Pelodiscus sinensis: one gene and its partners. The protein of the gene in region 3 purifies or fractionates together with the protein of the main gene of each other region. This does not show direct contact. Links are inferred from orthologs where the notes say so. Each region holds a gene or a part of one and is shown on either strand. Other genes may lie near its edges. The genes, in order: MAPK14, ATP5PO, PTPN5 and MAPK3.

Region 1 (7,416 bases), on a different chromosome or scaffold from region 3:
CTAATGCAATTGCACAATCTCTGAAGGTTCCGACACTCTGAAACAGGAAGTTAATGATGCAAATCCTTATGTTATATGGGTAATGGAAGGAAATATTTTTAAGTAATGCAAGCATTTTTTTTTTGAAAGCACAATGGGGGTTTGGAAGTAGGAGGAGATCTTGCTCATTATATTTCTAGTGTTGACCCTGCTGCAAGGCACTGAGCACCCTCAACTCATCATCTCAGGAAATAATCATCAACCAGCAAGGTCAAGCTCTTATCTTAGTACAGTACAGGCAGTCCCCGGGTTACGTACAAGATAGGGACTGTAGGTTTGTTCTTAAGTTGAATTTGTATGTAAGTCGGAACTGGTACATATTGTAGGGGAAACTCTAGCCAAACATTTCTCCAGAGCTCAGTTTTATTCTCCCACACCTCACTTCCCTCAATCCTTTATTCTCAAGCTGAGGTGTCTGCTGAGAAAAGCCGCTCCGCATCTCCCTGATCTGCTGGGGGGGCGGGGCTAGCTTCGCGTCTCCCTGGTCTGCTGGGGGGGAAGCAGCTAGTGCGGGGTTGCCTCACCCCATTTGTAAGTAGGGATCCGATGTAAGTCGGATCCATGTAACCCGGGGACTGCCTGTACTACAATTACACTTAGCATTTCTATACCAAAAATTTAGGGGGAATGCATTCGGTTAGTCAGCTGTCATACCAATTATTCATGCTGCTAGAACCTGTTTAACCTTTATACAAAGTATAAAAGACAAATGCTTAATATACTTTACTACAAACAAAGCAGTTTTAATAGATCTTATTTAAATGGAACAATATTGTAGAATATAATCAGCCTTTTTTAAAAGCAAACATCTGACAGGTTTTTTTAAAGCTACAATATATACATAGCAATTACTTTTCTTCATTCATATTTATTGTGAGCCCTGCACTATAGGTATAAATTTACAAATTGCATATAACTTCATTAATGCATGCTCACATCACAAATTAGGAGACCATTGTGTGGAAGCACTATTACAAAATCTTTATCGGGGTTTGACATAGTGGGTGAAAAACTTTAGACACTATATGTGTTCATACAGCATTAATGTATCTTTTAAAAAACGGTAAAGCCACCTAAAAAAGCTTTCATGCATCACTGTGATTTGACAACACCACTGAGGATAGTCAAGTAGATCAACTCATTTCTTTTTTTATATTATTGAAGAACAAAACTAATAAGTACTGTTGCATTAGCAAATGAGCAAAAATACTTGATATACCATGGGAGCTCAGCATCTTTGATTATGCTGCTGTAATTACAAGCAATTCAAACTATAGATACACGTCTTGTGTGTATTGGTTATACACATCTTATCTGTATTAGTTTAACTAAGGATTAAAGACCAGAATATTTTTCTTTGGGGTTATGTCCACGCTTTCACAGATCTGACAGCAGGACTAATGCCTAATTTTCTCAATCAGGAAAGACCACAAAATTTCCCCTCTGTTAACCTCCCATGCCCAATTGTTACCTGTAAAAGCACTGCTGGCAAGGCAAAAAAGAGAACCTCACAACCTTTTCCACCATCTCATTGTCACATAACAACCAATCACTCTTTAAAGTTACCCCAAATGCAACTTGTTCTGCAGCTCCAAGATGAAACTGTCATCCTGTTCTACAAAGCAAATTGCAGGGATTTGGCACACTCCACCTTTCAGTAACTCAAGTGGGGGAGGAGGAAAGTTTGTGCATTAATATCCTGGAGGAAAAGGGGGACAAGAGGAGTGTTCCCTGTAAACTGTACTAAAGAGATTCAATGCCAATGAGCTGATTCACAGTGCTTACAGCTAGGTTTTGTTTCCAATGATGTGATGGGGACTTAGGGACCTAGAGAGGGGACAGGTCTGCACCTCCCCTCAGGGGACCTCGGGCCGCCTCCGAGCTCCCTCACCACTTCTACATGTCTTGGTTCACATACAAATTTATTCAGCTCATGGTTAGAAAAAATGGTCCATGAACAGAAAAGACTAGAGGGAATATTAGACAAGACTCTGAAATTGCGTTTACCAGCCCCTGTCATGCGGTGCCATCTGGGGCACAGCACCAGCCAGACACTAGTTCTGCAGCGGTTTCTCCACTAACCCAGGGATGAAAATCCCCCGTGGGCAAGGCCGATTCAATCAGACCGGGGGCAGAAGGCGGGGAATGAACCCCAGCGAGCTGAGGGGGTCCCCCCCCGAGCTGAGGGGGTCCCCCCCCGAGCTGAGGGGGTCCCCCCCAGCTCCCCTTCAACTCATTCAGCGCCCTGCACGTGCACCGCCCGCCGGCATGCAGGAGCGGGGGAGAAGCCAGGCCAGACTCCCTACCCCCCCAGGCCGAGAGCGGAGCCCGCTGAGGAAGGGGTGCAGCTCAGGCTGGCAGACACCCCCCCACACACTCACCAGACGGAGCCGTAGGCCCCGGAGCCCACCGGGGACAGGTTCTGGTAGCGCTCGGGCACCTCCCAGACCGTCTTGTTCAGCTCCTGCCGGTAGAACTTGGGCCGCTCCAGAGTCATCGCGGCTCCGCGGCCCGCCCCGCCCGGCCAGGCGGGAGGGGGGACTCCGCCAGCGGCCCCAGCAGGGACGCCTCCTCCCCTGCCCCCTAGAGAGGGGACAGGTCTGCACCTCCCCTCCCCCCCCCCGCTCCGAGCTCCCTCAGCACGGCCCGGGCCGGGCCCCGTTGGCAGCCTCCGCGCGCCCCGGGCCGGGGGGTGTCTCGTGCAGCGGCGCCCGGGGCTGTCTCGCGCTAGCTGGGCTGGGATTCTCCTCACGCGCCCCGCGGCGCTGTCACCCCACGGGGCGGGACAGCGCGTGGACGGGAGGAAAGGGGGGGGGTCCTTAAAGGCACCAGATGTGAGTTGGTGGCGGGGGGGGGGGGGGGACTCCTCTCACAAACAGACCAGGGCAGGCGACGCGGGCGATGCCGGAGTGACCTCCCCCTCCCGGCCCAGTGGCACTGCCCAGGCTGCGTCAGGCGGCGCCGCCTGCTCCTCCCGGAGCGCAGACCAATCGATCGCGCCCCCTCCCCTGGCCCCGCCTCGCGAGAGCCTAGGCGCGAAGAGCGGCTATGACCCAATATGGAACCAGCGGCCGGGCGCTCCTGTCTCGCGAGAGCGACCCGCGACCCGGCGGGGGGCGGAGCGAGGCAGAGCCGCGCGGCCTGGCCGCAGGGGAGGACGCTGGCGCGGGGCCCGGCCTGGCTGCCCAGCCCTGGCGGCTGGCCACGTCCCCGCGGCCGTGCAGAGCCAGTGCCCGCCCCTGCCCCAGTGTGTCTGCCGCGTCCCCTCCCGCCCGCCTCTGCTGGGGGGGGCACTGTGCCCCTGCCTCTGCCGGGGGGGGCACTGTGCCTCTGCCTCTGCCGGGGGGGGCACTGTGCCCCTGCCTCTGCCGGGGGGGGCACTCTGCCCCTGCCCCTGCCTGGGGGGGCACTCTGCCCCTGCCCCTGCCTGGGGGGGGGGGCACTGTGCCCCTGCCCCTGCCTGGGGGGGCACTCTGCCCCTGCCTGGGGGGGGCACTGTGCCTCTGCCTGGGGGGGGCACTGTGCCCCTGCCTGGGGGGGGCACTGTGCCCCTGCCTGGGGGGGGCACTGTGCCCCTGCCTGGGGGGGGCACTGTGCCTCTGCCTGGGGGGGGCACTGTGCCCCTGCCTCTGCCTGGGGGGGCACTGTGCCCTTGTCTCTGCCTGGGGGGGGGCACTGCCACTGCCCCAGTGTGTCTGCTGTGTCCCCTTCTGGGCACTGTGCCCCTGTCTCTGCCGGGGGGGGGGTACTCTGCCTCTGCCTGGGGGGGGACACGTCCCCGCCCCTGCCTCTGCCTGGGGGGGGTACTGCCCCTGCCCCAGTGTGTCTGCCGCCTCCCGCCCGCCCCTGCCTTGGGGGGGGCACTGTGCCCCTGCTTCTGCCTGGGGGGGCACTGCCACTGCCCCAGTGTGTCTGCCGTGTCCCCTTCTGGGCACTGTGCCCCTGCCTTGGGGGGGGGGGGGGCAGTTCTCACGCCCGCACCTTGCTACGGGCTGGGCTGCAGGCCCCTGTTCAAGTCCGTGGGGCTTCGGCCTGTGCTGAGAACAGGCCCGCGCTCAGTCAGGCACCAGCGGGGGGACTGTCACGGGGCCAGGCTGCCGGTCACGGGCGGGGGCCTCGCCTGGACCCCGCTGGATTTCCCTGGGCAGGCGGGGAGGACGCTTAGAGGCGCTGTTGCCCCAGACGGACGCGCCTCCCTGGACGGCCCCGCAGCGGCTGAGCGCAGCGCCCCCTTGGTTGGACGCGGGGGGGGGGGGGGGGGTGCAGTCCCCGTTCCTGTGTTTCTCTCGTGCACGTTTCCCCGGGTGGCTGGGCCCCGCAGTCACCCCGCGGCTTGGAAAAGGGGGGGGGGGTGCAGCCGACACCCACGACCTGCGTTGCGAGGGGGCATTAAAACACCGGCTGGGGGGTGGCTGGTTGGTGCGTTACGCGCCGCGGCGTGCAGCGGGTACGTGTCCATTCATCCCGCTACCCAGTGCACAGCCCCGAGGGGGGGGTCAGACCGGGCTCCCCGTGGCGCTGGGGGGAGCGGAGCCGGGCGCTCCATGGGGGGGGGGTCTGGCCGCCGCGGAGGAGCGGGGGGAGTATCCCGAGCACCGCGCGCCCCGCCCCGGGGTTGGCAGTTGGCCAGGCCCGGCGGCCCCGCGTGTCTCGAAGCTCAGGCTGCCGCAGGTGAGCGCGGGGGTCCCCTGTTCCCGGCAGCATGCGCGGAGTTTGTCCCCGCCCAGGGCCGGGCCAGTGGGGGGGGCCGGCAGGGAGCCGGGGTCAGTGCCCCCCAGTCCCTTTGTAGAGCTGCCCGGCCACAGGGATCTGTGGACAGGAGTCCTGTGACCCCCAATGAAGTGGCCCTGGGGGCTGCAACAGCAGAGGGGGAGCTAACACCACTGCCACTTATGCCACCATTGCTCCGTGGACAGAGGACCTCCCGGCCACACTGCCCTGGCATGACACCCGCGGCGTGGGTGCACAAGTGCTGGTGATGCTGCACCGCCAGGTTTGAAGTGGTGGCCATTACAGGCGTCACAGTGTGGTTCAATGGCTCTCAGAAGAACCCCCCCCCCCTTGTACAAATTGTTTCAGCACCCTTCTCAGATGGAGTTACATCAGAGATGGATTTTTCCCTGGGCTTAGTCATTTAAACATTTCTTTTCAATGGGACACTCCAGTTCAATGACCCTCCTTTTTATCTTCAGTGTCATGGGTAATGTCAGTGGCTTTGATTCCTTCCTCTTGCCTTCATTATTCCTGTGTTTTTGACTGTCCATGATCAGGGTGACTGCATGGAGCCAGATGCTGAGACTGTCAGTGCTCCCAGGCAGCTAGGGAAGTACAAAATCAAGAGAGGCATATACACTGAGGAGCACTTTCAAAAGAACTATGAGAGAAACACACCCTCCCTAAGGAACAGGGACTTCATATTCCCCCGAGTCCAACGAAGGGTACACTGCCGGTGAGTAATATGCCAGGAATTATTTAGCAGATATGAAGAAGCTGAGGAGCCTGGTCAGGTACCAATCTAAACGCAACTACTGACCCTCCTGCTGCCCACAGCTCAGTACAAAAACACAGAGGGGACTGATACAAACCGAATCAAAGTGCCAAACCAGTGCTCTGTGTTTGGAGCAGCTAAGCAGAGACTGCTGTATGTGTTTGCCACCCAAGATGGAAAATGTTTTTGTGGCCCTCCAAACAACCAAGCAAAACAAAACAAAAGTCATCAAGCAAAAGTGTTGAGAAAAACACATACACCAAACAAGGATATGTGACTTCTGAATGGAAGATTTAGTGCCCACAAATCAGGGGTGGGGAACCTGGGGGCAGGATGCAGCCCCCAGATTGTATGAATCCAGCCCCCTTGGCTCATGACTCCCTTCCTGCCCCCAGCACTGGGGTGACCACACTAGCACTCTACCCCTGCCTCCCCCCCCCCATCCCTACCACCTCACCACAGGGCTTGAGCACACAAAATCTACTAGCCTGGACCCCCCTTAGGCTCTGGCGTGTGAGGAGGATGTGGGGAGTGTCTTTCTGCTTCTCATTTGGGGGCCATGTCAGTGAGAGTTGGGTGGAGATTTGCACTTTTCACCCACTAAATTTTCTGTAGGTCACCAGCCCCCGACCCAAAAAAGGTTCCTCACCCCTACCCCAAATGATAGTGTGCAGGGGGTCACCCACGTCTAAGGCCATGTGAGTCAAGCTTACCACAGCACTGGGAGAGTCGCTTCCAACAAACCACAATAGTCTGTTCATTTCACCGTTGTGATAATGGAGTACCTCTGCATAGTGTGGATGGATTCTGCTAATTGTTTCAGACTCCTCTGCACCTTCCTTCAATCCTAGCTGGCAGCCACAGACAAAAAGTTACACTGGTTTTTTTCTGGCAATTGTGTTTGCTATTTTGTTTAAATTCTCTCAAGTACCACGTTCAGTTCCCGACTAGAGATAAGATTTCCTAAGAGTATGGCAGAACTTGTACTACCTTCCTTCTGCCTTACTCTGTAGCTGTGTTGCTGCACTGTGATATTCCTGCTAGGATGGGTAAGGTGAGTATGCACATTCAGTATCAGTTAATATAACCCCAGCCTGTTCTTCCCATTCCGGACTTATATGCCACCTGGGCGCTCCAGTGGCGATTTAAAGCGTCCAGGGCTCTGGATGCTGCTGTGGCAGCGGTGGCTGGAAGTCCCAGGCTCTTTTGAATCACTGGGCCTGAGAGCAGTTGCCCTTTGCTGCCACCACCACCACTCGACAGCAGACCTACTTGGTTCTGTTCACTCCTTCCAAAGCATCTAGCACTGATTACTGTTAGAGGACAAGGTATTAGGTTTACATGGACTAGGGATGTTAAATATCGGTTAATTGAATAGTCGAGTAACCTCATGAATTCTTATCGGGTAGTCAACTAGTCAATAGTCCCCTTGCTGGCGGGGCTGGCAACCTCTGTATCAGAGGCAGCAGCACGAGGTGCCAGGCAGGAACTGGTCCACAGCAGCTTGGGGTAGCAGCAGACCCTATCTAGGGGGGTCGGAGCGCCTGGACACAGCACAAGCCAGAACTAAGTTGGGCTGCCTGACTCGTAATATACTTTAAATGAAGAGCCACAGGAGGGTTAGGTCCCGGACCCGGCGTGAGCCAGGACTGAGCTGGGCTGCTGGCCAGCCTGCTAAAATATTTACTTGCAAGGGAATGGGAGAGGGAAATGCGTGTAGTCTATAGCATTAATCTGTAAGCTTGTGCTTATTGATTAATCGGTTAATCGACTACACTATTACATCCCTAACCTGGACCATTAGTCTAATCCTAGTATGGCTGTACTTACATTCTTAAGAACATTAAGTCTGACATCCATTAGTCTGCCATTCCCATATTACAGAACAT
Region 2 (7,971 bases), on a different chromosome or scaffold from region 3:
GCTGGAGTGCTGCTGGGTTGGTCTCGCAGTGCCAAGGGTTGGTGCTACCAGACTAATCCAGCAGTGCCCTAGCTGCTCTGTCCTAGGTGTACCCAAGTCAGCCGCTGCTGAAACTGATCAGGGGCTGATTCCAGGAAGCCTGGGGCACAGCAACTCTGCCTCAGGCTTCCCGGAGTCAGCCACTGGTCAGTTTCAGCAGCGGCAGAATCACGACACCTGGGGCAGAGCAGCTGGGGGGCTGCCGGGTTGGTCTCGCCGTGCCAAGGATCGGCACTACCGGACCAACCCGGCAGCACTCCAGCTGCTCTGCTGCAGGTGTCCCGATTCAGCCGCTGCTGAAACTGACCAGCAGCAGCTGAATCAGGGACGCCTGGGACAGAGCCGGACTATCGTAAGGGGGGGGCTATGAGGGGCCTGGGGTGGCATCCCCCCACCCCAGACTCCTCATAGCCCCCCCCTTACGATAGTCCGGCAAATCTGATAATCCGGCACCTCCTGGGTCCTAAAGGTGCCATATTATCAGAAGTTTACTGTAGTAAGAGCCCCTGGGGTCTTACATTTAAAATGTAGAGGCACAGCAACCATGCCAGCTGGGACTACTTGGTCCCAGCTTGTGTGGAATCTAGTAGCTCCTGCCCACAACTAGTCCTGGCTGCTTTGAACAGAGGCTGCTCCAACAGACAGGGGCCCCCATATTCCTCCCCCCCCCCCCGCTGCCTCTGATTGGGGGGGGGGGGGGAGAGAAGATGTGAGAACACCCCGGAGACACTGTTGGGAGGATTCAACTTTTAAGTTGGTTCCCCCTAGCACTGGCTTGTATTCCGGGGGGGGGGGGAGGGGGGCGCACCGCAGGGAGCACCGGGCAAGTGGGGGGCTCAAGCAGTTCCCACTCACCCCATGATCCCACTGTGGCACTTCAGCCTTTGAAATGTAGCAAGAGCCCAACAGTGTTGAAACGCTGCAGTGGAAATAGCAGCCATGAGCGGGGACTGCTTAAATCCCACTAGCACTGTTTCCCCCGCTGTGCCTCTGCTTCCCCTGCCCCCCAGAGACAGCGCTAGGGGCAACTGGATTTTAAGCCGGCTTCCCCCAGCACCAGCTCCTGCTCCTGCTCCACCTCTACTTGCTGCCTCTGGTGGAGGTGAGGGGGGGGAGAAGGTAGTGACTAATCGAGTCTCAGTCACTAGTGGAGAGGAATCCTGTGGCACCTTATAGACTAACTGAAGTGTTGGAGCATAAGCTTTCGTGGGCAAAGACCCACTTTGTCAGATGCAGACGAAGTGGGTCTTTGCCCACGAAAGCTTATGCTCCTACACTTCAGTTAGTCTATAAGGTGCCACAGGACTCCTCGCCGCTTTTGCAGATCAGACTAACACAGCTACTCCTCTGATACTCAGTCACTAGTGTAAAACAGAAAGCCCATATCAATACAGCAAAGGCAGTTCTCAGAGCCCTCAAACTTAGAAAGTCTCAGCACCACGCAAACAGGTGGCTCAGGCTGCTCTTTGTCCCTATCTTATATTACCTTCCTAGCAGCCCCTCTTCCATCCTTGATGCTGGGTCCTTTATTAATGTTATGCTGGTCACCCAAAGTTACTAATCACTTGAAAATCTTGACCCCAGTAAATACACTATTTAACTCAGTTTTCTGAACAGTTCTTTGGTAGAATCATCAAGCTTAACTTCACACAGTTAAAACAGTTTCAATTAGTTAGAATGCCAGAAGGATTGCAGCAGAGTGGTCACTCAAATCACTTTAAACAGGAAGCCCTGGTAAAAGGAATTCCGTTTTTGATAGAAAGCATTTCTGCTGCTGCTGCTACACTGGAAGGTACAGACACACAGAAAATCCCTCCTAGTACTCAACAGACAGTATGGGGTTAGGAGGCATGTACTGAAAAAAGGGTTCTACCCCGTCATTCACCTACTCTGTCAAGGGGTGATACCAGAAAGGAACAACACGGAAGAGTCAAAAGCTGGCAGCAATATGATACTTCATTTTTTCACATCTCAGAATTACAAGAGAAACTCAACCAAAAATAACCAGCTTAACCATAAGCTGCGTTAACATAACTTATAGGCAGCTCAGTTAAGCAGCGTTGCTATTCCATTTTGATCTGAGCAAGTGGGTCTGGCCCACGAAAGCTCATCATCTAATAAACCATCTTGTTAGTCTTTAAAGTGCTACATAGTCCTGCATTTTACTTGCTATTCCAGGGCACTCCAGGGGTTTAAGTCTGTTCCACGCCAGGCGTCCCCATTGAAGCCGGTGCCGCCTTTCAGGTGCGGGCGGCACAGACGCTCTTGGCAGTCCCCCTAGGCGCGCACAGCGGCACTTGCCTGTCCCCAGCCAGCGGCGCTGCCGCACTCGCGCCCCGGGGCAGCGAAGCTCGGGGCGGGGGAAGGGGCCGGGCGGGGGAGCGAGCGGACGCACCTTGACGAGCGGCGCGGCGGGCCGGGCGAGGGCGGTGCTGAAGAAGCGCAGCTGGAGGAGGGCGAGACGGAAAACTCGAGTTAGGCGACTCCGGAGGGAAAGGCCCGAGGCCCGGCGCGTGCGACCCCGGGTTCCCGCCCGCGCTTGGGCCACGCGCCACCCCCCGGGGCCGCCTGGCGAGCCCGAGCGAACCCGCCTCCCCCACGTCCCGCCGAAGCCAGGAGCCCGAGCCTGGCTCGCGGGTGGGGGGGCGACAACGGCCGCCGAGGAACCGTTGGACTGGGGGGGGGGGGGGGGCAGGCCCTGTTCCTCCCCGCGAGCCCGGATGCGGGGGCGGCGCTGCCGGTCACCTTCCCCGGGAGCCCCGCGGCCGCCGCCATCGTCTCCTGCTACTGTAGGTCAAAGCGGGGCCCTGGCTCGGTAGCGGCCAGGACGCATGCGCACACTCCGCTGCGGGGCACGCTGGGAGAGCGAGTCTTGCAGCCCCGCTCACTCCTGGGAATTGTAGTTCATCAGCGGGCGGCGCGGAGAACGTGACGTGAGCCGCCAGGCGGAAAGAGCCCACGCTGCGGGGCTATGAGCCGGGTACGGAAGCCCCGAGACGTCCCCACACTACCTACGTCAGGCGTAGAAAGAATGTGGTGCCGTTTGGGTTCGACTGAGCATGCGCGGTAACAATCCCAAAACCGCTGCTCTTGCCCCGCCCTTACTTAGGGTCGGGTTCTGCCGCCTGCGCTGTACAGCAGAGGGCGGGGCGGGGCGGAGGAGCGAAGTGGTGGGAGGGGGAGGAGTTACGCCCGGGGCAGGCGCTACGGGGCGGGGCGCAGGGCCCCGCTGGCTAACCATTGGCCCTGCTGTGCCCATGCGCGTCAGTTCTGCAGGGAGGCAAATCGCTGCCCCGCTGCCGCCCCTGCTAACAATCGCTTGGCTGCGCAGCGGGGCGCCTTTGCCTCGCGCTGCCTGCCACCCGCGCCGCGTGCTGCTCTCAGCGCGGCCACCCGGCTTCTGCTGCCTCCGCGCCGCTCCTTGCGCTGCACCCCTTCCCCAGCGCCCCCGCCTCTTCCAGCCCCTGCCCCGCCCCTGCAAGCTGCAGAACAGCTGGCGGCCGGATCAGAAACTGCTACCGGTAGCACAGACTTACAAGAGAGCAGCTCTCTGCAAAGCACCCGCAGCTACTCGTAAGCGCCAGTTCTTCTTTTCCCCCTTGGATCCTCCAGGTGCAACTGCAGAGTGGATGCCTATGTGCATAGTAAATATTCATTGAAAGTACTTACAAGTAAATAGTTGCTAGTGGCTTTAGCAATGACAGCCGTGTTTCTAGAATAGCTTTACTATATATTTTATTGTGATTTTTATTTTGGAATTTTTGCTTTTCACTTCTTGTTTTGATAGCACAAGTTTATTCGGATGGATCATTGTAGCTGCCAGTCGGATAGATTGCCTAGCCTGGTGTCAAAACTTTGTTTTCATTTGATCCATTAAAGAGAATTGCCTTTTGCAACTGCTATTTTGCCTCACTCCAGCCCTCAATGCTTTTTTGCATCTCATTTCTTGTGTGTAAAACTTCATTCTCAAATAGTCAGTAAGGGACAGTATACTATCATATTAAATCATTCTCAAAGGCAAAAACCTATTTTAATTTTTGCTGAACAAAAGGTTGACTTTATCTGGTTAAACTAATTCTCCTAGCCCAATATCTTGTCTTCCAATGTGCTTCCAAAGAAGGACTACAATAGGCAGTCAAGTGATTCAACCCCTCTCATCCACTTTCAGCATCTGTCAGTCAAAGGTTTAGGGGCACCTAGAGAGGAATTGCATCCCTGCTCATCTTGGCTAATAGCCACTAATGGACCTATCCTGAGGAACTTATCTAATTATTTTTGAACCCAGTTATAGTTTTGGCCTTCACAACATAAGCACAGAGCTACAACCTTGACATAGCTTGACAACCACAAGAATTACAAAATCATGAGATATATACCTTCATGTAATTAAATTTTTAACAAAATAAATTATATTGTGTTCTATTATGCCTCTTTGTTCCAAAACCTTTAGGGCCAGCTCCACAAAAGCAGGAACTTGAACACCTGAATGACTCTTGAAACCCATTGCATACTTTTCCTGTTGCTACTTCCAAACATTGCGTATAACAAAGGCCATATCTATGCAGCAAACTTATGTTAACAAAAGTTACATCAGCATAGAATTGCCACAATTAATATGTCACGGTGGCATGTGCCATTATTAACTTTTTGTGTCAGTGGTGAGTGTACTCACCAGAACCACTTATATTGATTCAGAACATGGAGCAGCATAGATAGCTCACTGTGCAACTTGCCACCATCCAGCACTGTATTTTTGGGAAGTTTTGGCAACCTGTACTGGGACCAAAATGGGTTGCACTGGGGTGACTAGGATCAAGAGATCAGCTTCCCATAATGCAGTGTTCACCATGCCCTAATTTCATACATTGTCCATATGTAACATTATACATCATTTTTGCACCATTTTCCCTAAATTCCACAAACCTGCATGGCCGTCCTCACTGTCTGTCACCTCTGGTAGAAGCATAGAACCTGCATAACTCTGCACTATTGGCATGAGCATTGCAAGCTGTGTAATCCTGCAGTATTTACTGAGTCTGGAGAATAGACATTGAGGGAGATGATTCCATGCAGGAGAGATTGCTGTGGGACATAGCAACGATCAATTCACACTTGGTGGTGGCATTCACAGAGCAGCTGCAGATGGTGGAGTAATGGTTCTGGGCCTGAGAAACAAATTCCAGCTGGTGAGATTGGGTTGTAATACAGGTTTGGGATGATCAGCAGTGTCTGCAGAACCTTTGAATGCGCAAGGCTACATTCCTGAACTTGCCAAAATGACAGCTGCACTGATAAGGAAGAAGTGAATATAGATTGCACTCTGGAAACTTGCAACACTAGGTTACTATGGTCAGTTAGAAGTTTCTCAACTAAAAACAAGGTAGAATGGATTTTTTTTGTTATAAATAGTTAATACTAATAGTTGTGTGAGAAAAGGGGGCTGGCTCTCCTACTGGTTTCCTGTCTTTCTGCCTCTGCACCCTGCCTGAGAGCACCATCTGCTGGCCACCGCCTGCCTGCAATCATCTGCCAGCTACAAACAGGAGGCCTCTGCTGCACATTGACCAGCAGGGGGAGCAGAAACACAGGATAATTGCCCCCCTCCCGCTTTTTTTAAAGTCAGGACACCAGCAAAACAGCTTAAATAAGGTACTGTCCTGTTAAAAACGGGACAAATGGTCACCAAATCTTCCCCTAAGAGCTGGAGGGAAATGCTTTCTGTTTCCATGTGGAGCAGGGCCATGTGGCACCTGAGGCAGGGAGCTCAAATGATGCCCCCATGCCCCCTCGCTTGGGCCAAAACTTTGAAAGGTCTCAGTTGTGCCTTCTTCCTGTTCTATTCCTCTCATGGGACTGCTCTGCTACCTACATATGCACCAGCAGCAGACACAATTTTCTATCCTAGTGGTGCCCCCTATCCTCCAGTCTGGCACCTGAGGTGTCTGCTTCAGTTCGCCTCATGGTAAGGCCAGCCCTGATGTGGAGCAAGGGCGAGTAGGGAGCCTGCCTTAGCCCCAGGCTCTCTCTGCGTTGCCAGTTGAACTTTTAACCTCCTGTTTGGCAGTGCCAGCCAGAGCTGCCAGTCTCTTTTTGACTGGGTTTTGTAGTTGAAAACCAGATGCCTGCTAACCAATTTTTTTTGGAAATTCATATTTTTGTGCTGTTATATTTCATGTCTTGAGCTATTAAGACTTTAATTGGCTAAAATCTTAAAGGTGATCTAACTTTATGCACATAGCACAAATTTACATCCATCACTCTTATGATTGGCCTTGGAATGCTGCATTTTTGAGTTTGGCTTACCCTGCTTGTGTCTGCAATTTACACATCATACTTACAAAATAAAGTCTTATTATATGGCTAGATACTACATGTTTGCTATTTTGTAAATGTTAACTGTGTGAAATGTTTTCTTCTGTGAACAATACTCGGGGAAATCTTTTCAGGTGAAAATTGCAGAGGTTTTGACGTATAAGAGAAGTAACACATCTTAAAGGAACAATTAAAATGGGTAGGTTTAACTTATGTCTATTTTCTGCCAACTTTTCTTTAAAAGGCAAGCAATATTTTTTTCATATAATAAAGAAACAGAATACAATGGAATTTTCAGCATATAGGTGACGATCCTGATCCCTGCCTTCCCAACGCTGGGATTATTTGAAGTGTTAACCTTACTTTCAATGGGGCTATGATTAGGATCACTGTCTTTCTTCAAACTTCTTAGAAAATCTCGTTAGCTACATATGGAAGCAATGTAACAAATGTATTTGTCAGTTACATGGAAATGAACATAAATTATAAATATTAACAAAAAAATCCTTTAACTTTGTATTTCTTAAGTATGTTATCCAGTGTAACCACAAACGGTAACAACCCATATACGTTCACTGAGTAATGAGTTCTAGTATTAAATAAATTTCAACATGTAATTTTAACCACATAGTGAAATTCCTTTATATTCAAGCCTTGATAATCCATACTATATCCAGATATCTCTTATATTATATGTCTTTGAAAATATCTGATTTTTTTAAAGTGCAAAGCTTAATCTCTGATTAGCAGAGGAGACATTCTGCCATTCTGCAGAAGGAATAAAGGTTGCAGTTGTACACACCATGAAACAACCCTTATGACTTCTTGAACAGTATCATGATAGTCTACAGAGCAGACATCAAAGAGTAGTTAACATGAGAATTCTGCTGATCTCACACTATTATTGGCCAGGGATGATAAAAGACATCACAAATTGGGTATGTAAATTAGGGAAGCAAAATCCTCAAATATTAAACTTAAATGTAAATACAAATTTGAAACTTAAAGTGCTAAGTATAATGTCTTTGCATTCAGTGTAAAGATTTAACTGGGTTCTCTTGCAATATTTTAATATCTGAATGTTAATGTCCTCATATTATTCTGTCCTAACTAGGTTGAGCAATATCTGCTTTGCCACAAAGGGGTCAAATCTGGATACCATCTTGAAAAGCATAAAAATGAATTTTGCATTCTATCTATATATCTGAAATTTTTTTTTTTACATCCTTTCTGTTGTCAATGCCTTAGGAATGTTCTTAGTGCAGACTGCATATAAATGACATATAGTCTTATTCACTTCCTTAAAAAGCAGTAATAAATCTCTGAGTCAGTTGTTTATCATAATCCATCTTTATTGCTACACAATGAGGCCTTGAATTTGTAACAATGAGTTTAATGAATGTTTGTGGCACAGAGTGCCAGAATGATCTCTACTGCTACTTGCTCTGGCATAGCATATTTTTGCAGGTTTATTCTTGTATAATTTTTCCAATCCCTATTCCCGTATTTTTTTTTCTGTGTTTTCATTTTTTTTTTAAATAGAAACTAGATTCTGATTGGTTGAGGAAACACATTAGTGTTTACTCTGCTCATGGACTTATTGAGAACCTTTAAGATCCA
Region 3 (7,085 bases):
AGGGGTCTCTCTGCCCTGGTCTACACTACTACTACCAAGCCCGTTATTTCAAAATAAGGGTCTGGTTACTTCGAAGTAATAACTCCTGCTTTCCACGAGGAAAAACGTTTATTTCAAAACAGCTATTTTGAAATAGCAGTAGCATGGACACTCTGCTGCTATTTTAAAATAACTACTCCCCAAAGTCATTCAAAGTAATGACTCCCTAAAGTGCTTCTTGGGGCTCTAAGTTGAGGTAGCATGTCCACATTAAGGGAGTCTGCCTCAGACTAATTTTGAGGCTTCCCTGTAGTGTGGACATGCTATTTTGAAATAGTTATTTCAGGAGTTATTATTTCAAAATAAATTATTTTGAAATAATTTCCTAGTGTAGACATGTCCTCCCATGGCTACCGCTTAACCCTCCTTTTTTCAACCAATCAACTGAGCTCTAGCACACTGCAAAGTTAAGAAACATGGAGATGGGCTTCCTTTTATTTCTTTGCATTTTTTAAAATTCTACACAGCAAAATGGCCCTTGTCTCATGGAAATATCAGGGCCTGGGCTAAAAAAAGTGGCATATAAATACACCCGTGACATTTTAGCAAAGGATTTGGCTTTATTTTAGTTAGATGGAAAAAGGCATTTTCTGTCTCATTTTAGTTTAACAGTGTTCCATCGATGTATGTGGTCACAGTTTAAATGCTATTAAACATTCTTGCTTCATCTGTATGACATCTAGCTGGCAGATCTCATTGTAACTTGTAATGAATGTTCTTTACAGGTTCAGACCTCAAATTACTGGCAGTAATGCTATACTCCGCCTGGACAGTGGGTCTCTACCAAAGATCAGTACTGTGAAAGAGAACTCCTCCTAATTCATTTTAGCAAAACAAAGTCACACATTTAGGGTCCAAATGCTTGATTGTGGGAGTCATCTTGTATATATGTGTTTAAAACACCCGGTTCGTGGGTTCCCATTCCGCTCCCAAGTAAGTCAATGGCAAAATGCCCACTGATTGCAACTAGAACATAAGACCCCTGAGGCATTAAGTGGAAGTGACTCTACTATAAATCTTTTAAACCCAATGTTTCGATACAATTATCTTTAAAAGTGTTATACTGTCTGCTCATCTCTGCATTCATAATTGGATGTCAGAAAACAAGTGTAGAGGTTTATGTTGGATTAAAATATCAAAGGACAAAATTTTGCCTTGAGTGATGAATACCCTGCCTACTGAAGTCTATGAGAGCTCTGTATTAGCGATCTGAATCTAATTGTTAATGTATATGATTCATTCAAGAAGTAAAGTTCTTAAACTGTTTGATCTGAGTGGAGCCAACAAATGCTGCCCTAAGTACACATGGCTATCATGACACAAAGAGAGGATATTGCTCAGGCATTACTTTGAAATCTGTCATAGATTAATCTAAAACATGCAAAGGGCCCAGATCCTCCAGGTGCTGTCAATCGGAATCGCTCTACTAAAATCAATGTAAGGAATTTAATGTAGTAATAACTGTGTAATGCAAGAGATCTAAAATACTGATTTAGTCTTCTTTCCCAATTGTGATGTAACAATTACCCCTTTACAGAAAGACCTATTCCATTGTGATGACCGTATGAAAAATCACCACGTTTTTAAAACTGTTTAACTGTAAACAAGCCAATAAACTGGCTACACTCACTGTTCTGTTCCACCCTCTGCTTTGTGCCCTCAAAAACCCTTACCAGCAATCCACCAAGCAGACCTGCAACTGCACAGCTTCCCAGAACTTCCAGTCCCCAGCTTCCCAGAACTTCAGTGCCTCTCCTAGCCTGCTCTCAGCACTGCCTTCTAGAAGAAAGTGACAGTCGACCATGGCGTTCACTGTCACATCAGTTCGCAAGGCAGCATTATTCCAGGAGAGCATCGCAAAGCTGTTGCCGTGGTTAATATTTTACTGCAGTGAGTAGTTATCAGGTTAACCACCCAGGATGTGATTCGAAACCCATTTTCCCCCAACCCTGGGTCCCGCCAGCTGCATTATGTTTAGCCTGCAAGACCCGTTCAACAACTAGACGTCCTGGGTTGGATTTGTATTTTTAACGCGTTACTTTTGATTTTTTTCTATTGAAAACAATTCCCTCCCCCTACACATACGCCAGAAAACCCCAGCTCCAGTTCGCAGCTGGAAAAGGCTGGACGAAAAGCGGGGGGGAGGGGTGGTCCGCACTCCCCTAAGTATTGGTGCCTAGGGAGGTAAACAGAGATGCAGAAAATGGGTTTTATCGATCACTCGGAATCCATCCGTCCGCCTTTAATGGTCCTTGCAAATTTACAGCCAGATGCAGGGAAATCGGAGCTGCTGCCCTGCATCCTGGGCTCCCCCCCGCCCCCCCGCAAAAAACAGACCCTATTGAACATCAATGGGGATTTATTTCGCGGCTGCTCGCCCTCCAAGGTGAAGCAACCCCTTTCCCCCCTTCCAGGTCCCTAGCCCTGCCCGGTGCTGAGGCTGCTGGTGCATCGCTCAGCGTGCAGCAGCAGCAGGCGGAGCAGCCAGCAGGGCGAGATGGAGCTGGGACGCGGCGGGGGGGAAGGCATCCAGTGCAGCGCACACACACACACAGACACACACAGAGCCCGGACGAACGCGCACGAACCAGCCAGTGCAGCACGATCTTGCCCCTCGCTCCAGCCGTGCAGCGCAAGCTGGTCCCCTAGCTCCCGGGAGCCGCCGCCGCGCTGCACAACCAGCCTCTTCTCGCCTTACTTCCCCCCCTCCCCACGCCTCCTTTCCCCAGGGCTCCCCGCAGCGCTGCCGCTGCAGTGCATGCTGCCCCCCAGCCCCGGCGCGCCACAGCCCCCTTTCCCCCCCCCCCCCCCGCCTCCCCGGCCCCGCTCCGGGCGCACAAAGAGCCCCACTCACGCCGCAGGAGAGCGCAGCCCAGCAGGGAGCGGGAAGGCGACGCGAGGGCATGTGTGTGTGTCCTGCACACACCGCGCGCAGCCCCCTCCCCCCTCCGGCTCCATGCAGGCGGCGAAGCCCCCCACCCTGCCGCGCGCGGCCAGTCCCCCTAGCACACGGCAGAGCTCCACCCCCCATTGCAACCCCCGAGCCTGCACAGCCCGCAAACGCTGCTGTCTCGTTCCCCTGGAAGCTGCAACGCTCCCCCCCCCCCCACACGCCACCCCATGCAAAACTTCCCCAGCCCCTGAGCCGCGTCACACCCCCTCCACAGTATAAAGCCCCACTACACGGGCACGAAGCATCCTCCCCGCCACCGGGCAAGGCTCCGTAGCTCCCGTTACACCCTGCGAAGACTCTCCAGCCGCCCCTACCCCTTCAGCGCGGTTCCCCATGGGGAAGCCTCCTTCCACACAGCAGCCCCTCTCCATACTGCCAAGCGCCCCGCGCCTCCTGACTCTGCATCCCAAGGCTGCAAAGCACCCAGCGCCAAGCTCCCCAACCCCGCCTGCCTGCTGCTAACCTCCCCCCCTCCGGCCCCATGGAAGGCAAAGGCAGCTCAGTCATGGCTGGACCCTGGGGGCTAGCTAGGCAGAACCTCTGCTGCAGGGAAGTTTCCCCCCTTCATTGTTTGAGATGGTTTCACAGCCAGAGATGGGGGAGGCGATCCCCACAGAGCAGGTGTGTGGTGCAGGACTGACTCCCCCTGTCTGTGCAGATGCCCCTGGGAAGAGCTGCAAGGCTGGCGCAGCAGCAACAACAGCCGCCCACCACCCCCATGAAAGCCGCGTTCTCCCCATCTCGCTCGCTCGCTTTCTTTTCAGCTCGCTGCCCTGATTGACAGGGAGCCTTTCAAAGGCCGCCCACACACACGTTTTCCCTGAATCGGAGCGCGATGGCGAAGGAGAAAGCATGAATGAAATATTCCGAGTGCAGAAGCGCCCAGGAGCAGGGGGCGGCCAGAGAGAAAAAGACTCCAGCCCCCAGGGAGCAAGAGCATCTGGAGCGCCCCCCCCCCCCCTTCCAGCAGCAACAGCCTCTACTGCAGTAGTGTGTCCTGGTTCAGCACACCCACAGGCCACAGGCACAGACAAATGCGCACATAACACCACAACACAGAGTGTTACACAGAGAGAAACAAATGTGGATAATATAAAGACACCGGACGTAAATTATGCTCACACACAAAGGGAGACATGCATACATTACTGGCAGAGAGAGAGAGAGGGAGATACAAACACAGAGGGAGACAGACATTCACAACCATTAGGCACAAATCACACACAAAGCTTACAGGTCCACACACTCTCAGGAACAGAGAGAAACATTACACATTAAGGCCCCTGTTCTGCAAATGAGGGAGTTGGTGGGCTTCTATGTCGTGAGCCTCACTGATGTCTATGGGGTTCTGCATAGCGCAGCCCTCCACCAATGTGGTACCTATAGCAGGATACAAGTCTAAGATAGACACACAGGACCAGACCTTCCTCAGATGTAAATCTGCTCAGCTTCAATGGAGCTACATCATTTTATGCCAGCTAAGGATCTGGTCCAAAATATCTGATCTGAAAATCTTATCTAGAAGTTACAGCAGGAAAGGGGGTGGGGGTGGGCGGGAAGGGGGAGCATGAGGATGGGGTTCTTTCTGCATCTTTGATGTTTACTTGTTTTGTGACCCTGAACAGTCACTTAACTACTGTATTCCTCCATTCAGCCATTTGTGAAAAGGATAGAACCATGCTTGCTAAAGATACACTTACAGATTAAAACTTCCCCCAAAGATTTGGCATTCACAGTGAGGGGTTCTGACCCAGGCACGTCACTTATTTACTTAAAGCTTAGAGATGTTGGGGGCTGTGTCTTAGAATCATAGAACACTAGAACCAGAAGGGACCTCGAGAGATCATCAAGTCCAGTCCCCTGCCCTCACAGCAGGACAAGCACCATCTAGATCAGCCCTGGGCAAAATACGGCCTGTGGGCTGGGTCCGGCCTGCCAAGCCACCATATCCGGACACTACCTGCACGCTGCTCAGTAACGCAGCTGCAGGATGTTTTTTCTTTAAAAACTGTGAGTCCAGAGGGGAGAGGGGAAAGATTCAGGAGCTGCTCCAACCCTCCAGCACAACCCAATTGTCCGGTTTCTGTCCAGAAACTGGCCAGTGGGAGCTGCCTGTTTCAATAACAGGCAGTCATGAAGCACAAGGGGCTCCAAAGCACATGGCTGCAGCCTGGGCAGGGGCGGAGCATGCAGCAGTGTCCAGGCAGCACAGCTTCACAGGTGATTAATCAGCCCCACTCAGTCAGAGGTTCAGGGCTCCCTGCATGGAGCTGACTTGGAGTGGAGGGGCTGGTTAATCATCAGTGAAGCTGTGCTGCCAGCCAGCTTAGAGGGAACACTGGCTGGCAGGAAGGCTGATTCAGGAACAAGCTGCTGGCTGGTAAGTCTCCTGGCCACACCCTGCCTCTGGCATCCCAGCCACACCCTTCTCTAGCCCTCTGCCCCCCACTCCTGTCCCTTACTGCACATACTCAAATCCTTTGCCTCCTCCTGCACCCACATCCCCTCACAGATCTGGCACCCTAATCTATCACAGTCCCTTCCTGCCCTACAACCCAAATCCCTACATCCCCTCCTGTACCCCAATTCCCTGCCCTAGGTCACAATCCAACACCCCGCATCCCAATCCAGTGTCCCAGGTCACAATTGCCTCATTCACCCAAACTCCCTGCCTTACCCCAAGCTCCCTTCTGCACCCAGATTCCATCCTAGATCCCTGCACCTTCTCCATTGATATCATGGAAGAGTGTGGCCCTCAACCACTTTCCAAATTTTTGGAGTGACCCCCCATTAAAAATTATTGTCCACCCTGATCTAGCTCATCCCTGGTAGATGTCTATTCAACTTGATCATAAATATCTCCAGAGATGGAGATTCCACAACCTCCCTAGACAATTTATTCCAGTGTTTAACCACCCTGACAGTTAGGAAGCTTTTCCTAATGTCCAACCTAAACCTAAACACTTCTGACTAATATTTAGCTTCCGGTCCACTGTTACCTCTAGATCCCTTTCTGCGGAACTCCTTCTAGACAGTCACTTCTCATTCTGAAAGTGTGAAACTGATTGTTCCTTCCTAAATGGAGTACTTTGCATTTGTCCTTATTTAACTTCATCCTATTTACCTCAGACCATTTCTCCAGTTTGTCCACATCATTCTGAATTATGACCCTATCCTCTGAAGTACTTGCAATCCCTCCAAACTTGGTATCATCTGCAAACTTGGGCTATATCTACACTGAAATTCTCTTGGGCAAAAACCTATGCAAATAAAGTGTGGATTAGCATATTGCCACGCTTCCTTTGCATAATTAATTAGGGACCGTTTTTGTGCAAGAAGCTTTTGCACAAAAAGGCGCTGTCTAGACTGCTCCTTTTTGAACAAAAACCCCTTCTTGCGCAAGAGGCGTTCTTCGAAAAATGTCTACACGGCTCCTTTTTGCACAAAACCTCTTGCGCAAAAACACACCCTAATTAATTATGCAAACAAAGAGTGGCAATATGCTAATCTATGCTTCATTTGCATAGGCTTTTCTGCAAGAGAGGAGCAATGTAGATGTAGCCTTAATAAGTGTACTCTCTGCATCACTGATGAAGATATTGAACAGAATGGGTCCCAAAACAGACCCCTGTAGCATCCCACTTTTTATGTCTTTCCAGCATGACTGTGAACATGTGTGTGTTAATAACTAGCAGGAGTGGGAAGGCGACATGAGTTATGTACCCATCTTCACTTGGTGCAGTCTACTGAACTCAAGGAAGCTACACTAATTTACCTCAGCCAACGATTTGGCCCCTGAGGTATAGGTAATATTTGTAAAGTATCCTTGAATTAAAATTTAGCATTTTTATATATTAGTAATACTTATTTGGAATTCTTGAATGGAAACACTAGTACTATTATTTACCTATATCTCTCCTACAGTTTAAATTGAATACAGTACTTTTTCTAAACTCTCAGGTAATGTTGTTGAATATTGTTTGCACGTTGCACCCCAGAGGTAGCTGCACTTGGTGGTGTGTAATCTGATTCTTCCCTGTAGTCATGCAGAAGCAGATTCAAAGCTGGTATAAATCAAATTAGCTCCACTGAA
Region 4 (7,384 bases), on a different chromosome or scaffold from region 3:
GATCTGCAGCGGGGAGGAAGGTTAGCTGAGCTGCCCGCCCCCCTGGAGCCCAGGGAACGCAGCAGTGGAGGCAGAGACACAGGGAGGTGTGAAGGGGGATCGGTGGGGGTGGGGCGCAGTGCGGGGGTGTGCGTGCAGCAGGGCTGAGGGCTGGTTGGGGACGGGGTGGGGTGTGACCGAGGGCTGGATGGGGTCAGAGGCATGGTCATGACTGAGGGCTGGTTGGGGGTGTGCAGCCGGGGGCGGGGCCTATGGCTGGTTGGGGGTGGGACACGCCACCAGGGGCGGGGTGGGAGCTGAGAGGGGCGGGGCCGAGGGCGGGCCCACCTTGAGGTCGCACGTGGTGTTTGATGAGCAGGTTGCTGGGCTTGAGGTCGCGGTGCAGCACGTTGGACTGGCCGGGGGCGGGGCGGAGGGGGCAGGGCCGAGGGGCGGGGCTGGGGCGGGCCCACCTTGAGGTCGCACGTGGTGTTGATGAGCAGGTTGCTGGGCTTGAGGTCACGGTGCAGCACGTTGGACTGGCTGGGGGCGGGGCGGAGGGGGCGGGGCCGGGGCGGGGCGGGCGGGGGCCACCTTGAGGTCGCACGTGGTGTTGATGAGCAGGTTGCTGGGCTTGAGGTCGCGGTGCAGCACGTTGGACTGGCCGGGGGCGGGGAGGGGCGGGGCGGAGGGGGCGGGGCGGGCCCACCTTGAGGTCGCACGGTGGTGTTGATGAGCAGGTTGCTGGGCTTGAGGTCGCGGTGCAGCACGTTGGACTGGCCGGGGGCGGGGCGGAGGGGGCAGGGCCGAGGGGCGGGGCCGGGGCGGGCCCACCTTGAGGTCGCACGTGGTGTTGATGAGCAGGTTGCTGGGCTTGAGGTCACGGTGCAGCACGTTGGACTGGCCGGGGGGCGGGGCGGAGGGGGCGGGGCCGAGGGGCGGGGCCGGGGCGGGGCCACCTTGAGGTCGCACGTGGTGTTGATGAGCAGGTTGCTGGGCTTGAGGTCACGGTGCAGCACGTTGGACTGGCCGGGGGCGGGGCGGGGCCGAGGGGGCGGGGCCGAGGCGGGCCCACCTTGAGGTCGCACGTGGTGTTGATGAGCAGGTTGCTGGGCTTGAGGTCGCGGTGCAGCACGTTGGACTGGCCGGGGGCGGGGGCCGAGGGGCGGGGGCGGGGCCGAGGGGCGGGGCGGGCCCACCTTGAGGTCGCACGTGGTGTTGATGAGCAGGTTGCTGGGCTTGAGGTCGCGGTGCAGCACGTTGGACTGGCCGGGGGCGGGGCGGAGGGGGCGGGGCCGAGGGGCGGGGGCGGGGGCGGGGCGGGCCCACCTTGAGGTCGCACGTGGTGTTGATGAGCAGGTTGCTGGGCTTGAGGTCGCGGTGCAGCACGTTGGACTGGCCGGGGGCGGGGCGGAGGGGGCAGGGCCGAGGGGCGGGGCCGGGGCGGGCCCACCTTGAGGTCGCACGTGGTGTTGATGAGCAGGTTGCTGGGCTTGAGGTCACGGTGCAGCACGTTGGACTGGCCGGGGGCGGGGCGGAGGGGGCGGGGCCGAGGGGCGGGGCCGGGGCGGGCCCACCTTGAGGTCGCACGTGGTGTTGATGAGCAGGTTGCTGGGCTTGAGGTCGCGGTGCAGCACGTTGGACTGGCCGGGGGCGGGGCGGGGGCGGGGCGGGGGCGGGGCCGAGGGGCGGGGCGGGCCCACCTTGAGGTCGCACGTGGTGTTGATGAGCAGGTTGCTGGGCTTGAGGTCGCGGTGCAGCACGTTGGACTGGCCGGGGGCGGGGCCGAGGGGCGGGGCCGGGGCGGGCCCACCTTGAGGTCGCACGTGGTGTTGATGAGCAGGTTGCTGGGCTTGAGGTCGCGGTGCAGCACGTTGGACTGGCCGGGGGCGGGGAGGGGCGGGGCGGAGGGGCGGGGCCGAGGGGCGGGGCGGGCCCACCTTGAGGTCGCACGTGGTGTTGATGAGCAGGTTGCTGGGCTTGAGGTCGCGGTGCAGCACGTTGGACTGGCCGGGGGCGGGGCCGAGGGGGCGGGGGCGGGGGCGGGGCGGGCCCACCTTGAGGTCGCACGTGGTGTTGATGAGCAGGTTGCTGGGCTTGAGGTCGCGGTGCAGCACGTTGGACTGGCCGGGGGCGGGGCGGGGCCGAGGGGGCGGGGGCGGGGCGGGGCCGAGGGGGCGGGGCGGGCCCACCTTGAGGTCGCACGTGGTGTTGATGAGCAGGTTGCTGGGCTTGAGGTCGCGGTGCAGCACGTTGGCCGAGTGGATGTACTTGAGGCCGCGCAGGATCTGGTACAGGAAGTAGCAGATGTGGTCGTTGCTCAGCTGCTGCGTCTTCAGCAGCTTGTACAGGTCGGTCTCCATCAGGTCCTGCACGATGTAGCTGGGGGCGGGGTCAAGGGGCACAACGGCCGCGGGGCGGGGCGCGCGCGGGGGGCGGGGCGCGCGGGCGCGCGCAGGGGCCGGCGCGGGCGCGCGCAGGGGCGGGGCAGGATACACGTCGCGCATGTGCTCGATGGCGGCGGCGCGCAGCACGTCGTTGATGCCGATGATGTTCTCGTGGCGGAAGCGCAGCAGGATCTTGATCTCGCGCAGCGTGCGCTGGCAGTACGTCTGGTGCTCGAACGGGCTGATCTTCTTGATGGCCGCGCGCGCCTTGCTCACGTGGTCGTAGGCGGAGCTGCGGGGACGGGAGGGGCGGGGTTAGCGCCGCGCCCCGCAGCCCCGGGGGGGGGGGCCCGGGCGGCGGGGGGGCGCTCACCAGACCATGCCGTACGCCCCCTCCCCGATGTACTGCAGGTCCGTGTAGCGCGGCCCCACGTCGAACACCTGCCCCTTCACCGACTCCACCCCCAGCTTGGGCGCCCCCGGCACCGGCCCGGGCCCCCCCGGGGCCGCCGCTGTCGCCGCCGCCATGGCCGCTGCGCTCCGATCCCGCTGCCGCAGCCGCACCCGGAACCGCCCCGCCCGACGGCTCTGCGCAGGCGCACGGGCTGCCCGACGGCCCGCGTCACGTCGCCGCCATCCGCTACGCGCCCGGATTGGAGCGCTGCTTCTGACGTCATCGAAAGGCGGAAGTGCTGTGCCCTGTCATTCGCTTCTGCCGCTTTAGGCCCCGCCCCCAGACCCAGTCTACGGTACTAGGCCACGCCCTCGCTCGAGGAGCTCCTCTCCGACCACGCCCACTGTTCCACCTGGCCACGCCCCTGCCCACGCCGGCACCTTGCCGGGTGTTCCCCGGCCCCCCCCCCCAGCCTCAGGGCCCCCCGGGTCTGATTCCCCGGCCCCTCCCCCCCCCCCCAGCCTCAGGGCCCCCCGGGTCTGATTCCCCGGCCCCTCCCCCCCCCCAGCCTCAGGGCCCCCCGGGTCTGATTCCCCGGCCCCTCCCCCCCCCCAGCCTCAGGCCCCCCGGGTCTGATTCCCCGGCCCCTCCCCCCCCCGCAGCCTCAGGGCCCCCCGGGTCTGATTCCCCGGCCCCTCCCCCCCCCCCAGCCTCAGGGCCCCCCGGGTCTGATTCCCCGGCCCCTCCCCCCCCAGCCTCAAGGCCCCCCGGGTCTGATTCCCCGGCCCCTCCCCCCCCCCCAGCCTCAGGGCCCCCGGGTCTGATTCCCCGGCCCCCCCCCCAGCCTCAGGGCCCCCCGGGTCTGATTCCCCGGCCCCTCCCCCCCCCAGCCTCAGGGCCCCCCGGGTTTGATTCCCCGGCCCCTCCCCCCCCAGCCTCAAGGCCCCCCGGGTCTGATTCCCCGGCCCCTCCCCCCCCCCCAGCCTCAGGGCCCCCCGGGTCTGATTTCCCAACACCCCCCAGCCTCAGCCCCGGGGCTGGTGGGGGGTAGTTAGGGGTCCCAAGCAGGGCATGGGGGACAGGTGGGGGGGTGCAAGGGGATGCTGGTGAGGGGTAGTTAGGGGTCCCAGGCAGGGCATGGGGGACAGGTGGGGGGGTGGAAGGGGATGCTGGTGAGGGGTAGTTAGGGGTCCGAGGCAGGGCATGGGGGACAGGTGGGGGGGTGGAAGGGGATGCTGGTGAGGGGTAGTTAGGGGTCCGAGGCAGGGCATGGGGGACAGGTGGGGGGGTGGAAGGGGATGCTGGTGACGGGTAGTTAGGGGTCCCAGGCAGGGCATGGGGGACAGGTGGGGGGGTGGAAGGGGATGCTGGTGAGGGGTAGTTAGGGGTCCGAGGCAGGGCATGGGGGACAGGTGGGGGGGTGGAAGGGGATGCTGGTGAGGGGTAGTTAGGGGTCCCAGGCAGGGCATGGGGGACAGATGGGGGGGTGCAAGGGAATGCTGGTGAGGGGTAGTTAGGGGTCCCAGGCAGGGCATGGGGGACAGGTGGGGGGGTGGAAGGGGATGCTGGTGAGGGGGAGTTAGGGGTCCCAGGCAGGGCATGGGGGACAGGTGGGGGGGGTGCAAGGGAATGCTGGTGAGGGGTAGTTAGGGGTCCCAGGCAGGGCATGGGGCACAGGTGGGGGGGTGGAAGGGGATGCTGGTGAGGGGTAGTTAGGGGTCCCAGGCAGGGCATGGGGGACAGGTGGGGGGGTGGAAGGGGATGCTGGTGGGGGGTAGTTAGGGGTCCCAGGCAGGGCATGGGGGACAGGTGGGGGGGTGGAAGGGGATGCTGGTGAGGGGTAGTTAGGGGTCCCAGGCAGGGCATGGGGGACTGGTGGGGGGGTGGAAGGGGATGCTGGTGGGGGGTAGTTAGGGGTCCCAGGCAGGGCATGGGGGACTGGTGGGGGGGTGGAAGGGGATGCTGGTGGGGGGTAGTTAGGGGTCCCAGGCAGGGCATGGGGGACAGGTGGGGGGGTGGAAGGGGATGCTGGTGGGGGGTAGTTAGGGGTCCCAGGCAGGGCATGGGGGACTGGTGGGGGGTAGTTAGGGGTCCCAGGCAGGGCATGGGGGACTGGTGGGGGGGTGGAAGGGGATGCTGGTGGGGGGTAGTTAGGGGTCCCAGGCAGGGCATGGGGGACTGGTGGGGGGGTAAGGGGATGCTGGGGGGACACGTGGGGGTGTAAGGGGGTGGAGGTGGGAGGGTGTATCTAGGTGAGCCGAGACAGGGCATGGGGAGATGGGTGTGTGTAAGGGGATGCAGGTGGGGGGGAGCTAAATGGGCCCAAGCAGGGCACGGGGGGACAGGCGGGGGGTGGGGTCCCTGTGCCCAGGCTCATACCCCTCTGCCACTGGCAGCGGATTCCCGCCCAGCCCCTGGCTGGGAAGTGGGAGGGAGTGTCCTGGCCCCTCCCCCCCCAGGCTGTGCTATCCCTGGGAGGCCCCACCCCCACCCTTAAAAGGTGCTGGTTTCAGCCTCCAGATTCACTGTCACACCAGAGTGCCTGGAACTGGTGAGAGCAGAGGCAGTGGGGTCTGATGGTTAGAGCGGGGGGGGGGGGGGGAGCCAGGACTCCTGGGTTCTTGCCCTGGGCAGGGCAGTGGGATCTGATGGTTAGAGCGGGGCGGGGGGGAGCCAGGACTCCTGGGTTCTGGCCCTGGGCAGGGCAGTGGGATCTGATGGTTAGAGCGGGGCGGGGGGGAGCCAGGACTCCTGGGTTCTGGCCCTGGGCAGGGCAGTGGGGTCTGATGGTTAGAGCGGGGGGGGGGAGGGGGAAGCCAGGCTCCTGGGTTCTTGCTCTGGCCGGTGGGTGGGAGGGAGGGAGGTCCTGGGCCCTCTCGGCTGACCCTTCCCGTCTCTGCAGAGTGATGCTGCTACACCCAGTTACCTACAGGTAGAGCCAGGGCAGCAGCCAGGCAGAGGGTGGTGGGGCAGGAGCAAGGGATAGCGGCAGGGTGGGAGAGAGGGGCAATGGCCGGGCTGGAGTGAGGGGCAGCGACGGGGTGGCAGGGCAGCTGGGCTGGAGTGAGGGGCAGAGTGGTGGCGGGGCTGGAGTGAGGGGCAGCGGCCGGGCAGGGGGATGGGGGGGGTGGGAGCGAGGGGCGGCGGCCGGGCAGGGGGCGGCGGGCGCGAGGGGCGGTGGCCGGGCAGGGGGCGGCGGCCGGGCAGGCGGCGGCGGCGGGCGCGAGGGGCGGCGGCCGGGCAGGCGACGGCGGGCGCGAGGGGCGGCGGCCGGGCAGGGGGCGGCGGCCGGGCAGGCGACGGCGGGGCGCGAGGGGCGGCGGCCGGGCAGGGGGCGGCGGCGGGCGCGAGGGGCGGCGGCCGGGCAGGCGGCGGCGGGCGCGAGGGGCGGCGGCCGGGCAGGCGGCGGCGGGCGCGAGGGGCGGCGGCCGGGCAGGCGGCGGCGGGCGCGAGGGCAGCACTAACGGCGCGTCTCCCCCAGCCGCCATGAGCCGGCAGGTGGTGCGCAGCAGCAAGTTCCGCCACGTCTTCGGGCAGCCGGCGAAGGCCGACCAGTCCTACGACGACGTGCGCGTCTCGCAGACCACCTGGGACAGCGGCTTCTGCACCGTCAACCCCAAGTTCCTGGCCATTGTCGTGGAGGCCAGTGGGGGAGGGGCCTTCATGGTGCTGCCCCTGGCTAAGGTAACCCCGCCCCCATCCCTGCTAGTGACCCCCTCCCCCCTCTGCCGGCCCAGCCCTGCCGGGGCCCCTCGCCAGCCCCGCCCTGCGCTTCTTAGGTAACTGTCTGCCCCCCCCTTTCTGTTTCCGGGGGGGGGGGGGGGGGCTGTTTTGTGAAACCGCCGAACATGCAGATCTTGACATTTTTGCCTTAAATGGCTCCAAACGTGAAGCGGGGGCGGAAGCAGCCGTGTAAAAGGGGAAGTGGGTTTGCGGGGAGGGGGCAGGTCTGGGACACCACAGCCCAGCCCCCCGTCCTGGTTCTCGGAGCCGTGGCAGCCACACCTGGGTCACCGTAGCCAGGAGCCCCAGAAATGGAGCAGGGGCGGGGGCGCCGGGGGAATAAAGGTCTGTGGTGCAGCTACAAAGGGCCCTGTGTCCTTCCCTGGCCCGGGGGGAGGCCGGGGCAGGATGCGGCTTTGGAGGGACCCTCGGCTCCCAGAACGCGGCACCTTGTGACTTCCATCGTGATGGGAAAGACGGGAGCAGAGCGCCTCAGCCCCTCCCCCTCCGTCCCACTCCCCACACCCGCCCCCCAGCCCCTGCCGGTCCAGCTCTGCCCCCAGCGCCCCCCACTGCAGCCCCTGCCCCCCCAGTGCCCCCCAGTGCCCCCTTTGCACAATGCCCGGGTAAGGTTGTCATGGGACTGCTGGGTTCGTGGGCCCAACTTTCCCCGTGGCAGGACCATGGGACGAGGCGGGAGGGGCGTGAGGGGAGAGCCAGGCCTGAGGCTGGTGCCCAGGAGGGCTGAGGCAGGCCCGGCCCCCGCCCTGCTGCCAGACTGCCCTGCTCTCAGGTTGGCTGCCCACTGGGGGGAGGGGCTCATGTCGCCTGCTGTGGGCACTGCAGGGGCACGGGAGCTGGGTTGCTTGTCACAGCCTGGCCCTGCCCCAGGCCCCAGGCC

Evidence for each region.
Region 1: the proteins of PTPN5 (region 3) and MAPK14 purify together in Homo sapiens (affinity purification with mass spectrometry; 3 studies listed by BioGRID and IntAct, with this or other methods). This does not show direct contact. The link is inferred for Pelodiscus sinensis from reciprocal best matches to the Homo sapiens genes PTPN5 and MAPK14.
Region 2: the proteins of PTPN5 (region 3) and ATP5PO purify together in Homo sapiens (affinity purification with mass spectrometry; 3 studies listed by BioGRID and IntAct, with this or other methods). This does not show direct contact. The link is inferred for Pelodiscus sinensis from reciprocal best matches to the Homo sapiens genes PTPN5 and ATP5PO.
Region 4: the proteins of PTPN5 (region 3) and MAPK3 purify together in Homo sapiens (affinity purification with mass spectrometry; 4 studies listed by BioGRID and IntAct, with this or other methods). This does not show direct contact. The link is inferred for Pelodiscus sinensis from reciprocal best matches to the Homo sapiens genes PTPN5 and MAPK3.

What each region holds. Positions count from the first base shown.
Region 1 is NC_134737.1:12,871,976-12,879,391, reverse strand, and holds the start of MAPK14 (mitogen-activated protein kinase 14), read right to left. Parts: upstream 3,018-7,416; 5' UTR 2,537-3,017; coding exon 2,421-2,536; intron 1-2,420. Other genes in the region: SLC26A8 (testis anion transporter 1), read left to right, coding at 5,319-5,488. UniProt on the Homo sapiens protein: Serine/threonine kinase which acts as an essential component of the MAP kinase signal transduction pathway.
Region 2 is NC_134711.1:183,989,619-183,997,589, forward strand, and holds the start of ATP5PO (ATP synthase peripheral stalk subunit OSCP, mitochondrial), read right to left. Parts: upstream 3,001-7,971; 5' UTR 2,815-3,000; coding exon 2,785-2,814; intron 2,486-2,784; coding exon 2,435-2,485; intron 1-2,434. UniProt on the Homo sapiens protein: Subunit OSCP, of the mitochondrial membrane ATP synthase complex (F(1)F(0) ATP synthase or Complex V) that produces ATP from ADP in the presence of a proton gradient across the membrane which is generated by electron transport complexes of the respiratory chain.
Region 3 is NC_134714.1:113,848,602-113,855,686, forward strand, and holds the start of PTPN5 (tyrosine-protein phosphatase non-receptor type 5), read right to left. Parts: upstream 3,010-7,085; 5' UTR 2,894-3,009; intron 2,744-2,893; exon of another isoform or gene 2,628-2,743; intron 1,994-2,627; exon of another isoform or gene 1,713-1,993; intron 1-1,712. UniProt on the Homo sapiens protein: May regulate the activity of several effector molecules involved in synaptic plasticity and neuronal cell survival, including MAPKs, Src family kinases and NMDA receptors.
Region 4 is NW_027465967.1:94,771-102,154, forward strand, and holds the start of MAPK3 (mitogen-activated protein kinase 3), read right to left. Parts: upstream 3,002-7,384; 5' UTR 2,895-3,001; coding exon 2,740-2,894; intron 2,659-2,739; coding exon 2,476-2,658; intron 2,362-2,475; coding exon 2,172-2,361; intron 4-2,171; coding exon 1-3. Other genes in the region: CORO1A (coronin-1A), read left to right, coding at 6,247-6,444.